3 linked regions of the Nothobranchius furzeri genome follow. The protein of the gene in region 2 purifies or fractionates together with the protein of the main gene of each other region. This does not show direct contact. Links are inferred from orthologs where the notes say so. Each region holds a gene or a part of one and is shown on either strand. Other genes may lie near its edges.

What was found.
Region 1: the proteins of setdb1b (region 2) and atf7ip purify together in Homo sapiens (affinity purification with mass spectrometry; 6 studies listed by BioGRID and IntAct, counting the BioPlex papers as one, with this or other methods). This does not show direct contact. The link is inferred for Nothobranchius furzeri from reciprocal best matches to the Homo sapiens genes SETDB1 and ATF7IP.
Region 3: the proteins of setdb1b (region 2) and chaf1a purify together in Homo sapiens (affinity purification with western blotting; 3 studies listed by BioGRID and IntAct, with this or other methods). This does not show direct contact. The link is inferred for Nothobranchius furzeri from reciprocal best matches to the Homo sapiens genes SETDB1 and CHAF1A.

What each region holds. Positions count from the first base shown.
Region 1 is NC_091747.1:75,425,357-75,429,110, forward strand, and holds the start of atf7ip (activating transcription factor 7-interacting protein 1), read left to right. Parts: upstream 1-1,270; 5' UTR 1,271-1,476; intron 1,477-3,754. UniProt on the Homo sapiens protein: Recruiter that couples transcriptional factors to general transcription apparatus and thereby modulates transcription regulation and chromatin formation. Can both act as an activator or a repressor depending on the context.
Region 2 is NC_091745.1:76,219,317-76,223,070, reverse strand, and holds the start of setdb1b (histone-lysine N-methyltransferase SETDB1-B), read right to left. Parts: upstream 2,270-3,754; 5' UTR 2,169-2,269; coding exon 2,149-2,168; intron 1,313-2,148; coding exon 1,109-1,312; intron 1,036-1,108; coding exon 872-1,035; intron 791-871; coding exon 753-790; intron 1-752. UniProt on the Homo sapiens protein: Histone methyltransferase that specifically trimethylates 'Lys-9' of histone H3. H3 'Lys-9' trimethylation represents a specific tag for epigenetic transcriptional repression by recruiting HP1 (CBX1, CBX3 and/or CBX5) proteins to methylated histones.
Region 3 is NC_091748.1:48,299,186-48,302,939, forward strand, and holds the start of chaf1a (chromatin assembly factor 1 subunit A), read right to left. Parts: upstream 2,537-3,754; 5' UTR 2,327-2,536; coding exon 2,263-2,326; intron 1,145-2,262; coding exon 1,097-1,144; intron 1-1,096. Other genes in the region: scamp4 (secretory carrier-associated membrane protein 4), read left to right, coding at 3,727-3,754. UniProt on the Homo sapiens protein: Acts as a component of the histone chaperone complex chromatin assembly factor 1 (CAF-1), which assembles histone octamers onto DNA during replication and repair.

The sequences.
Region 1 (3,754 bases), on a different chromosome or scaffold from region 2:
TTTGGTGATTGGCCTTGTCTTGTCTGAAGGTCTGTCTGCCTAATGCTGCAGACCTTGTCTGGTGCACGTGTGTGAGAAGGAAAAGGCAACAGTCGAGTGAGAGAACACAAACGCTCCCTCCTGATTCCATGGATCATGCGTGAATCTGTTTGAAGAACAGTCATAACACTAAACTACATCAGGTTAAATGGTTTACACAACTCAACGCACAGGAGCAAAGTTCTCAAGCCTATGTGAAAACATCACCACTGTTTGCCCTCTACTGGCCACATGTGGAACTACAGGTTCTTTATGAAGAAATGAGTCAACAAAATGGCTGACCCGTGCATCTGTGAGGAAAGAAAATAACACGCACCTGCTGCACATAAAAAAGATGTATCTGAACTTTACAAAGAAGTAATTGAAAACTTGTACTTGTGTTAAGGTTTTATTGTGAAAATTAATCAAATCTTAATGGGTGACAATTATCTGCTTACTTGGCTAAAAAAATAAACGAGAGCTGTGACAGTTTCACACATTTTCTGGCTTAGTATTAGCTTTATACATTAATCTGTCAGTGTTCTCATGTTGTGTGAGGCATCTTAAAGAAAAAAAAACAGAAAACAGAGCTCAGTTTCTCAAATGTCTCAAATACTGTACACAGAACAGCTGGACCAGCAGCACATCCTCACCATTGTGTGTGATGCCTTTAAACTTTAGTGTGAGGTGTAGTTTTTAGTTTAAAGAAAATTTTTGAAGCAGCTGCTCAGACAGGCTCCTCCTCCTTACAGCCCCTCCCCCTAAAGCCCGGGTTTTTGTCTGTCAGGAACAAACCATTCACCCCTCCCTCTCTATGCTAATGTGCAGAGCTGCTGCTGCCTGTCTGCACATGCAGAAGTCGGCTGTGGCTTTTTCTGCCATTCTGCTGCTAGGTTCCTCTGAGAGCCCTTGGCATAAGACCTGCCAGACCCTCCTTAAAAGCCTACCAGTCACCTCCAGGAGCAGATCATACGTACCCTGCCAGCTTTAGGTACCGGCTTCAGTGCCCACACCGACCAGGAGAGAAGCTAAAGAACGAACCGCGGGAGAAGTAAGACTCAGGTCGCGACAGTTAACCGACGTGAGCGACTTCGTAGCGTCTGCTGACTACCCCCGCCGCCGAAGACCGCTGACGTCACGCTACGACCAAGAGGTTTTTTTTCCCTCTTTTGTGCGTTTGCGCGAAAAAAGGTGGAGCTTAAATTTCAAGCTGAACCAACGGTCGGAGTGGACAACACCACAAAAGTCCGAGGCGGTGAAGAGCTCCTGGTCCAGAAGAAGACGATTTAGAAGCGCTCCTGGTGTTCCCTTCCACTTGTGGAAACCGGTGAGCAGCAGCTTCGCTCACACCACATCCGTACCTCCACACGCAACTGTGGGATTCCAGAAGACCGTAAGTGAACGGGATAGCGTGCTACGGAAGATCAAAGAAAAGCCGCTTGACAGAACGAATAGTCGGTGAGTGTAGATACTGCATGCTAGCTAACCAATGCTAATGCTTAGTTAATAAAAGCTGATATGTTTTGCCTCAAAGTAAAATAACCAGCCAATAATAGATTACACTTTCTTTTCGTCTTACGTTTTTCAAGCAGATTGGTCCTTTTTCAGGTGTTTTTCAAGTTTTGAGTACAGCGGCATTCGTTAGCTAATAGTTGGCTTGTGATTAATACACAAACATTTATTTATATTTCTCTTTAAGTTAGAGAATTAAGTTTTAAGAGTAATGCCATTTATGAATTGGACAGTGGAAAATGTAATTTTAATAATTTAAATGTTAGCTATACTGTATTCCTTTGTTGGTGCGTTACTGCAACTTTTTCAGAAATTAAAATGTTACGATCATGAAGAATTAAGAACATTTTTCCCGTAGCATGGGGAATTAAATTTACTATGAATAAGGCATTTTTTTATTTATTTGATAGCAATTGTGGGTGGAGCCTTTTCTGTCAGGTAGTCAGGACAGACTTGTATCTGATTGGCTAGTTCTTTTTGGCTTCACTTGAGCCAACTTGTTTTTGACATTAGAGGCAATTACAGTACTCCACAGCTTGTTTTCCATCTTGTATGTTAGCTTAATAATTACGATTTCTGACCTTTTATGAGAGAGGCTTAAAGTTTGTGATGTGGCGCAAAATTTTATGGAAGGATTTGTTGAAGTTTTCACACAATTTTATCCTGTTACAAGATGGGTTAAGGCGAGAAAACAGTTTTATAACCCAGATTACAGTTCCCTATTTTTCTTCTCTCCACAGAGCATGTTTTGAGCTAATTTTCAAGTGTATTGCTTAGTTAAAATACTGCACCATAAAATAGGCATACGTGAACATGTAAAACAAATTGGTAAATTTCCCTCAACCAGGTGATCAATTTCAAATCAATTTCCCTCTGGGATTAATAAAGTATTATTGAATTGAATTGGTGTTGCTCTTTTTTATATAGATTACAAGTTACACATATTAAATTCTACTACAAAAAAACTAGTGTCTTGGATGTATATGGGCCTCAGTTAAACAGCAAGCCTAACCTAATGACCTAGTCGTTATAAACCCAGCCCTAACAAGCCAGTTTAGCGATTGTGTAATGTTGGTGCTAAAACAAGCAGCAGACCTATCTAGCACATTGCAGAGGCAAAAGTTTGGGGGAGGGGCACATGGAAGGGCAGCCCTTGTGTTAGTTATTCTAGTGTAAAAGTGGTGATGACAAAGGAAAGGGGTAAAATGAAAAGGTTATGGAGGAAATGAATTCCCCTGGTCACTTTCCAGTCCATTTGTAAAAGCTTGTATGAACAGCTTGCACTAACATTCCTTACAATGTGTAAACTCCCCTCTTCCTCTGAAGTGGTACGGCCCAGTAATTTTCCATGAACAACACTGTGCTATAAAATGGGAGTGGCTTAATGTCAGTGTTAAAATTAGTGTTAGGTAGCCCCCCCCCCCCCCCCCCCCCGGTTGGTTTAGAAAAGGCATTGTCTTTAAACTGGTGACTTTAAACTGTCTGCTTCTTTCTGACACATCACATACATTAGTTAGCCATAATAAAGTAAATAAGAAATGAGTCCATTTCAACTTTAAAATTGAAATCCTCCATTGTAGCTTGTAAATATCATTTACAAACACACACCACAGTTTCAGATGTTCAACTTTTTGAGAAATGGTACAGCCCTGTTTCTTGTTTCACCTCCCCCACATCTGAGCTTCAGTGCGCACATGGTGCATTTGTAATTCAATACATAGACTGTTTCCCCATGCAGTTAAAGAAGCAGCATTTAAGGGAGCTACCTTTCACACCTTTTTCATTTGTATTTCCCGTGGAATTATTTAATGTCGATTGTTTATCCTAACTTTGCAGTAATTAAACAAATTCTTTTGCATAATGAGATGACCTTAAATGGTTAAAGTCTACAATTACTATAGTAATTATAATGTAATTTGTTTTAAGTTAAAGACTAAAAAAGTTAAAGGGACTGATGTAGTCAAACAAAATAGTGCCGGACAGGAGTAGGACTTGGGGAAACCCAAAAACAGCCCTTTCTCTGTTTGCCAACGCACAGTAACATGGTGCCTTGTGGAAGCTTCACATCAATGACACGCATACGTACATATACACAAACACGCTTGTGCACATATACACAAACACACTTGTCTGCCTAACATATTTTTGCAAAAGTGTAACTGGTAGATTCATTTGTGATGTAGAGGCATGTTAAAAGGCCTCCTAATGCTGTTTATGAAGGGGA
Region 2 (3,754 bases):
CTAAAGCAGGAGATAAGTGTAGGAGACTGTTTTCATGTTCGGACGGCATGAAGAACTCTGAGTGACCCATTATAACCTAGAGGATAAAGTATACTTTATCCTTTACATTTGATGTCCCATGGGCTGTCGGAGCACCTGATGTCCTCTGGACGATGCCAGCGTGCTCTTCTATGACCCATTATAATCATTAACTCATTCACTGCCATTGAGGACTAAAGTCGTCATTTGCATTTTGTTACTGTGTGGGTGTCGGACGAGCCCCCGCACGGTGAGAACAAACAGCCGATCTTCATCCGCGTACGTCACAGGTCACGTGATCAGGAAGCAGAACGTCATGTGTTAGGAGATCGTTTTGGGCCGTTGCTGTAAAAAAAAGTGAGGCGCGAACCGGAAAAGCTTCTGCCGATCACACTTCAACAACGGATTATGAAAGAACGGATAACGCTCGAAACGCGCGGATTCTTCCTGATGTAAAAGGTGAGTCTCCATTTTGTTTTGGTTGTTTCGGCGTCGACATCATCCTAGCATGCAACGTTCTGTCACTCTTAAAAAAAAACAGTAAAAACGGTGAGAAACGCTGGCAGCGAATGAGTTAAACAATATTTCTCAGTTCTCCACACCTTTAAAGCTGCCTGTTATGTGTCAACAGCACTTTTTGTCCCTGATGCTCATTAACAAAAACAACACTGTAGTAATTACATAGTAATTAGATATGAATATATTTTCAGAAACACTGTTTTTGTTGCTCTCACCACTGAGTCTTTGCCTGGAGATTTCGTTGGAGGAACCACTGATGGTGCAGAACAGAAGAAAAAGAGATGAACAACAGTCTCAGTGTTTTCATATCTTTTTACAAAACAGCACAACTTACAACATCCAACTGCAATGACATCGTCATCGTCATCATCATCTATCTCAATGACTTCAGAGCACAGTCCATCTCCACCCCCTTCATCCTCAGAGCTGCTCTCTCGGTAGACAAGACCGTTCAGCTGATAAGCCTCCTTTACCAGTTTCTCACACCTCTTTAAAGATCTAAAAAAAGGAGACAAGAAGATGAGCTCGTTATAGATAAGCACTAATAAAACAGACAACCATTCCACCTCACTGGTTTGTGTCTTTGAGAAGCATCTCCGTCTTTGCCTCCTCTTCCTCTTTCTGTTCCACCCACTGCTTCAGTTCTTTCAACTGAGCTTTTTTCTTCTGCACCATCTCACTCTGTTCCACAGCTTCTTCAACCAGCTTCTTCAGATCATCCAAGGAAACACCCAAATCGTCCTCCAGACTCGAGTCCCAGCCGTCCACCTCCATTCTGAGGAGGGAATGCAGAGAAACACATTTAAACAGCGCTACATTTTTAAAAACAAACTCAACCGTCTGCTTTACAACCATCAGCTTAAACTCCCACAGATGGCCAGAATGAAGCATGATAACATTTATTTACAGCTTGGTAGTGATTAATTAAGTTTAACGAAAAGAGTTATATTCTTTATATATATATATATATATATATATATATATATATATATATATATATATATATTAGCATTTTTGTGATTTTGATCAAGTTTTAAACCTCACTCTGTGTGAAAGACATTAATAATACCTAATAGTCACACTCCCTAAATAACAACGCATTACTGTTATAGACGTGTCTAGCATACGGGTCATCATCCTTTATGGTAAAAACAGGATAAAATACACTCAAGTTAATCTGATTTTTTAAAGATGCAGTGAATCCATAAAAGAAATTCCAGATGCATACCAGTTTATCTGAATAATACACATGTATAAGATAGTAGATCACTAGGGACATCAGGAGTAAACACAACTTTCCCACTTAGTTGTTGCAAAAAAGATGAACTTATGAGCTGAACTTGAGTAAATAATAAAAATGTTGCTCATTTGTTGTCGGAGAGTGATGTAAAGCCCTAATGTCTTCGTTTTACACGTTAGATTTGTGCAGCAACAACAAACCCTTGTTGAGACGCATGCTAACCGGTTAGCTTAGCATGGGAAAAGAACAATTCTGATTTGAATGAGAGGTGCAGGCTGCTGAAACAAATATGTTCATTGCACAATAGAGAATTGCATCAAAAACATTCGTAACCTATGAAACATGTTCTAATTAACGGGAAAGCCACCCACCGCTCGCTGATCTCCATCATCTCGGACGCAGATGTAAAACTAGCTTATTCCGCTAATGCTAAAGGGTAAGCTACAAAAGATGTTTCGATTCCCGGGGTGTCCGAAAAGGGCGGTGTAGTAGATCGCAGCATTGGAAAAAAAGTCCCGCCCACGCAGGATGTTATTGTGACTTAATAATTGAACCGAGCCAAACAATGACGAGTTCGTTTGGTTTTCAGATTTTTTTTAATGTTTAGGAATGTGAATAGTTTTACGTGGGGCAGTTTAAAAGTTATACAAGTATAACATATTGCAAATTGTTTGATTTACTTTTTCATTTTACCGAATAAACAAGTTTATCAAATTAAATCAGCTATTGTGGTCAAACATTTACTCTTTTGTTCTGTAACTAATTGCATTTCTTTTTATTTTCTTTGAATATTTTATGCATTAATTGTGAAATCCTAATACAGTAGTTTTCATTCTGTTTGAAACAAAATATGGACCTTTTTTATAAATCAGTGTCTATCTACGTCTGTGTGAGTTAATTAGCTGTAGTTGGGTATTTATTTGAACTAATAACTAATAGTTTTATATCTGGCATGTTTTATTACAAACCACACATTTGTTCTGGTAAAATTTAGTACCTAAATATCTTAATTTTATATTATCTGGCCTTTTTAAGGTTCCATTTATTTAATTTAAAACAAGGGAGCTATGTTTATTTGCCAGCAGAGGGCGCAAAGTTCCCGTTCTTGCAAGGAACCAAAAAGAACTTCAGAGGAAGTGTTTCAATTAAGGAACTCTTTCAACTTTAGAAATCCAGTTCCTTATTCTCCTTCTACTCCTCGGTCTCTTCTTCAATACTACAATTTCCAAGAGAACAAAAAAAAGGATTAAGTTTTTTTAAGGCTCCATCAAACCAAGGAGGCTAAAATATTCTCTTCTAAAAGGCAAAGAACACAAGCGCAGTTACAGCTTTCATACACTGGAGGGCAGCAACTCCCCATCTTCACGTACATCCATTTTCTGAACCCGCTTGTCCGCGCGCGCGTGTGTGTGTGTGTGTGTGTGGGGGGGGGGGGGGTGCTGTCTCCAGCGGTCAATGGGCAATCGGGGGGTGCACCCTGGACAGAGAGCCAGTCCATCGCAGGGCAACCGAGGGCAACACAGAGACACACAGGACAAGCAATCTTGCACACACACGCGCACTCACCCTGTGCAGCCCCTCCCCATCTTTCCTTCTATTCTAAATGCTGTTGGACAAAAGTGTTCTATTTTTTGCCAGGAGAGGTCGCCAATTCCCAGTTCTTTCAAGGCAACAGAACACGGTTTTTGGAATCGTTGAAGTAAATATTTCTAAGGAACTTTTTTGACTTTATAAATTCAGTTCCTTCTACTCCGTCTACCCCCCCCCCCCCCTTTAATATTAATATTCCCAAGAGGAGAGAAAAAAGATTAAGATTTTTTAAATGCCCCGTTAAGATAAGGAGGCCAAAACATTATCTTCTAAAAGGCTAAAAAGAATACAAGTGCAGTAACAGCTTTCAGACACTGGAGGGCAGCAACTCACCATATTCCCTTCATTATGTATGAAAACAGTGTTGTTCTATATTTAGCCAAAGGA
Region 3 (3,754 bases), on a different chromosome or scaffold from region 2:
AAACAAATTATTCATTTATTATTAATAACATGTAACATTTTTGAGCACTTAATGTCACATTATTAATAAAACCTGACAGGCGCTTTATCTGGTGTGTGAGTCGGTTGCTCTTCAAACTTTTATTAATGTAGAAACACTTTGTCCAATTATTAACAGCTAATAATTAATTTATGTAGCCACTTAAAGATTATATGTTCACCATCAAAACTAGAGATAACCGATATGGGTTTTTCTAACGCCAATGTCGATAGGCAGAGGTCAGGGTCAGCCGATAAGTGCTGCTGATTCTTTTCGGCTAATTTTCATGGCTGACTTGAGATTTTTCACATGATCAAAATGACACAAATAACAACGGCAGATGTGAGTAATATTTCTGAACCTGAATCAGTTTTTGAACACTGAGTTGAACTAACTGTGGAATATTTGTTTTGTGTACTCCTCAGTATTAAAATAAAACATTTAACCAAAGTTTATAAAACAAAGATTCAGGAACATAAATATACAGATGTGCCAACTTTAAATTGGATTTACTAAAGAGATATATCAGCCGATGCCAATGTATAAGGTGAATATGGGCCTGATAGTATCGGTTTACCCCTAATCACAACTCACCGTTATGTTTTCAGACATATCCATACTTGTTTATGTTTATTCGCGTTTATGTTTATTTATTTAGCAGACGCTTTTATCCAAAGCGACTTACAATTTATAACCTATAGGGCATGCTGTGATCTGTGGGGGAAACCGGAGTACCCGGAGGAAACCCACGCATGCATGGGGAGAACATGCAACTCCATGCAGAAAGGCCACAGCCGAGTTTCGAACCTGCGACCTTCGTGCTGCGAGGCAACGGTGCTAACAACTGCGCCACCATGCAGCCTACTTGGTCAGTCTCATCCATACGTTTCCTATCACCCGTCACAATCTCTAGGTTACTGTCAAAGATTGCATAATTGACCCCAAACTGTTTTATTCTTGACTAATAGATTTAAAACTAAATAAAATAGTGTAGTTTATATATGTGCATCATTTTTATGAACGTGGGTGTTTTATTTTTTCTTCAGTGTTTGATCTTATGTAAATAATACATATTTACCTTGAATTAGTTTCTTGCTGGCATTATTACTTGACTTACAATCCATTCCTGAAAAGAGCAAAAACAATTTTTTAAAATACGATTATATGCAAAGTTGAAATACATTTCAGCTTATTAAAGATGATGACTTATTAGGCTAAAGGCGCCAAGTCTCAACTGTAAAAGCTAAAAGGATTCAAGCTTTTCATTTTAAAAATACCACAAAACTGATCAGACTTCAGTAAAACTCATCAAACTAAACACAATTACAATACCTGTGAATCTATTCGTTAACATCCTTGTAAAAATATAGTAATGGATTAATCATGGATGAACAATATGTTTGTGTAGTTTTGGCATTACTACCATAAGCAAAGCTAAACTGAAGGGTGCAGCTGTGCAGCCCTGGTTCTCTGTGCCGTCGCTGTGCTAACAGTAAAGTATCCCTGCTGGTGCAGCTCGGCTCGCTCTCCCGCCAACTACTGTGTCAACCGGTACTGCAGGCCCGAGTCTACAGGGCCAACACCTCCGGTCTGTCAGGCAGAGATTTGGTTGCCTTCTACGGACGACAGAAAACGTAGGAAATAAGAAAAACGGCTGCAATGTGACAGAATGATGGCAAACGCAAAACCACTGGCGTGTGTGTGACAGTCCGAGGACTAGAGGAGCTTTGACAGCTCCAATATAAAAGTAGCTTTCATGTTAGGTGTTAGCTTTGAGACCCTGATGCATGCTACATACCTAGCTGTGTCTAATCAAACTAGCCAGCAACTTTGAAGGACAATCCGTGAGCTACCAAAGCATTTGTCATTGTAGCATAGCAAGACTTGGTCGATGTGTAACCAGTCTATGGCAAATGCGACAAAGTTCCCACAACTGGTGTTTGGTCAAATAATAACATCCATTCTGTGAGACCGCTAGCTTTACGCAGAAGTTGTGCTGTAACGTTTATAAATTGGCATTTGGTGCAAAAACATAATTCAGTACAGAAGATCGGTGAAAGCTCTGCTGTGAAAAGGTTAGCGTTGACAAATTTGAAATTGTACAACATATATATATTTAATCGTTGATGCAATTTACTTATACTCCATACAAACAAAATAGCACAGCAGTTCTTCCACTATGACATTACTAAAACTTCGAGTAATCGATCATAATGTCGGTACACTGCCATGATGATTTTTTACCTCTTCTGCGGGGAGTCGATGCTGACAAATGTCCGTCCACAGATGCGTTTTCGGCTGCCAACATCCCAACTACTAACCCGGGGCTTTTCACGATCACGGTGTTAACGACAAAAACAACTTTAACACACCGCTAGATATAATGTTAACACAAACCAGTGCCTTTTAATATTACAAAACTATTGTGTCCTTATTTAAATGGCCTGCAATCTCATTTTATAACAGATAAAACATAGCTAAAACTCTTTCCGTGCCTCCGAAGTGGTCCCTTGGTCTACCCCGACGTCTGCCTCGCGCTCCAGAGTCGGAATTGGCGGGAGCCGGCTGCTTCCATCAATAACCTTCGCTGATTGGTCTAAAACGTTCCTCTGGTTCTGCAGAGTATGCTCGATTTGAACAACGGGTCTGCACGTTTGTGTCAACCTTCACGTTATGTGAAGCTTTTTGAACTTTAGAGAAAGAAAGGTTGAAAATACTTTATGATTTATATATTTTCCTCAATAATAAAGCCTGTAACGTTTTAGAAACAAGTGATCTATTTAATAAATTGCACTTTAAGCGCATACTATCCACCCGGTAATGGGACACTCTGTACCACGAAACGAAACGTAGCAGATTCATTTCTAAAGACACTCCTTCCAGTTGATGTTTCAGGATCAGTGATTGGGTGATAGGATTGACTTTTTTTTTTTACAATCTTTATTTAATACAACTTCAAAAACAAAAAAGCACATACCACAAATAATACCAACAAAAAGCAACAATAAACACAACAAAGCAAATGGAAAAAAGTTTAAATCATGTCAGGGATTTTAAAATTCAATAAATGTGGACAAAAACAAGCAGATAAAACTTTAGAAGTCATCTGCCTTGTGTTGGCCCTGAAGAGAACCCAATCATGAAAACTGTTCTGTTAAAAGAGGGCGTGTATATATATATATATATATATATATAAACTTAAGCACATTGAATTTCAAACCAAGGATATTTCAGTTTATGTTATCCTCAAATTTTGATTGATAATAATTTCATATGAAACGTGTTGACTAGATTTTAATGATTCGTTATTGTGAACCTGACTCAAGATGGCGCCAAATCCACATGTTGACCATTCTCAATTGAATAAGCTCATTTTCATTTTAACATACTTTTTTTATTTTTAAGTACACCGCAAACATTAGCATGTTTGTGTCAGTGAGAAAGTTGTCTTATGTCAAATACTGCATACAAGCGTTGCATACAAGCGTTTTAATTATATAAAATTTGCAACCATAATTCACACACTAGGAAGTGGGCGGGATACATTTGAACTGAGTCGTACCAATCGGTCATAGATGGACGTCGTTTATCATGTTGTCACGCGTTTTCCGTTATCGCTCAAGCCTTTGCAGGGATATGTAGTTTTTCAGAAGGGCAAATGCGTTAAGTACTGACGTTAAAAAACTACAAAGCCGTCAGTTGTGGCGCATGCGTGAAACGTTTGAAGGGGGTCGAA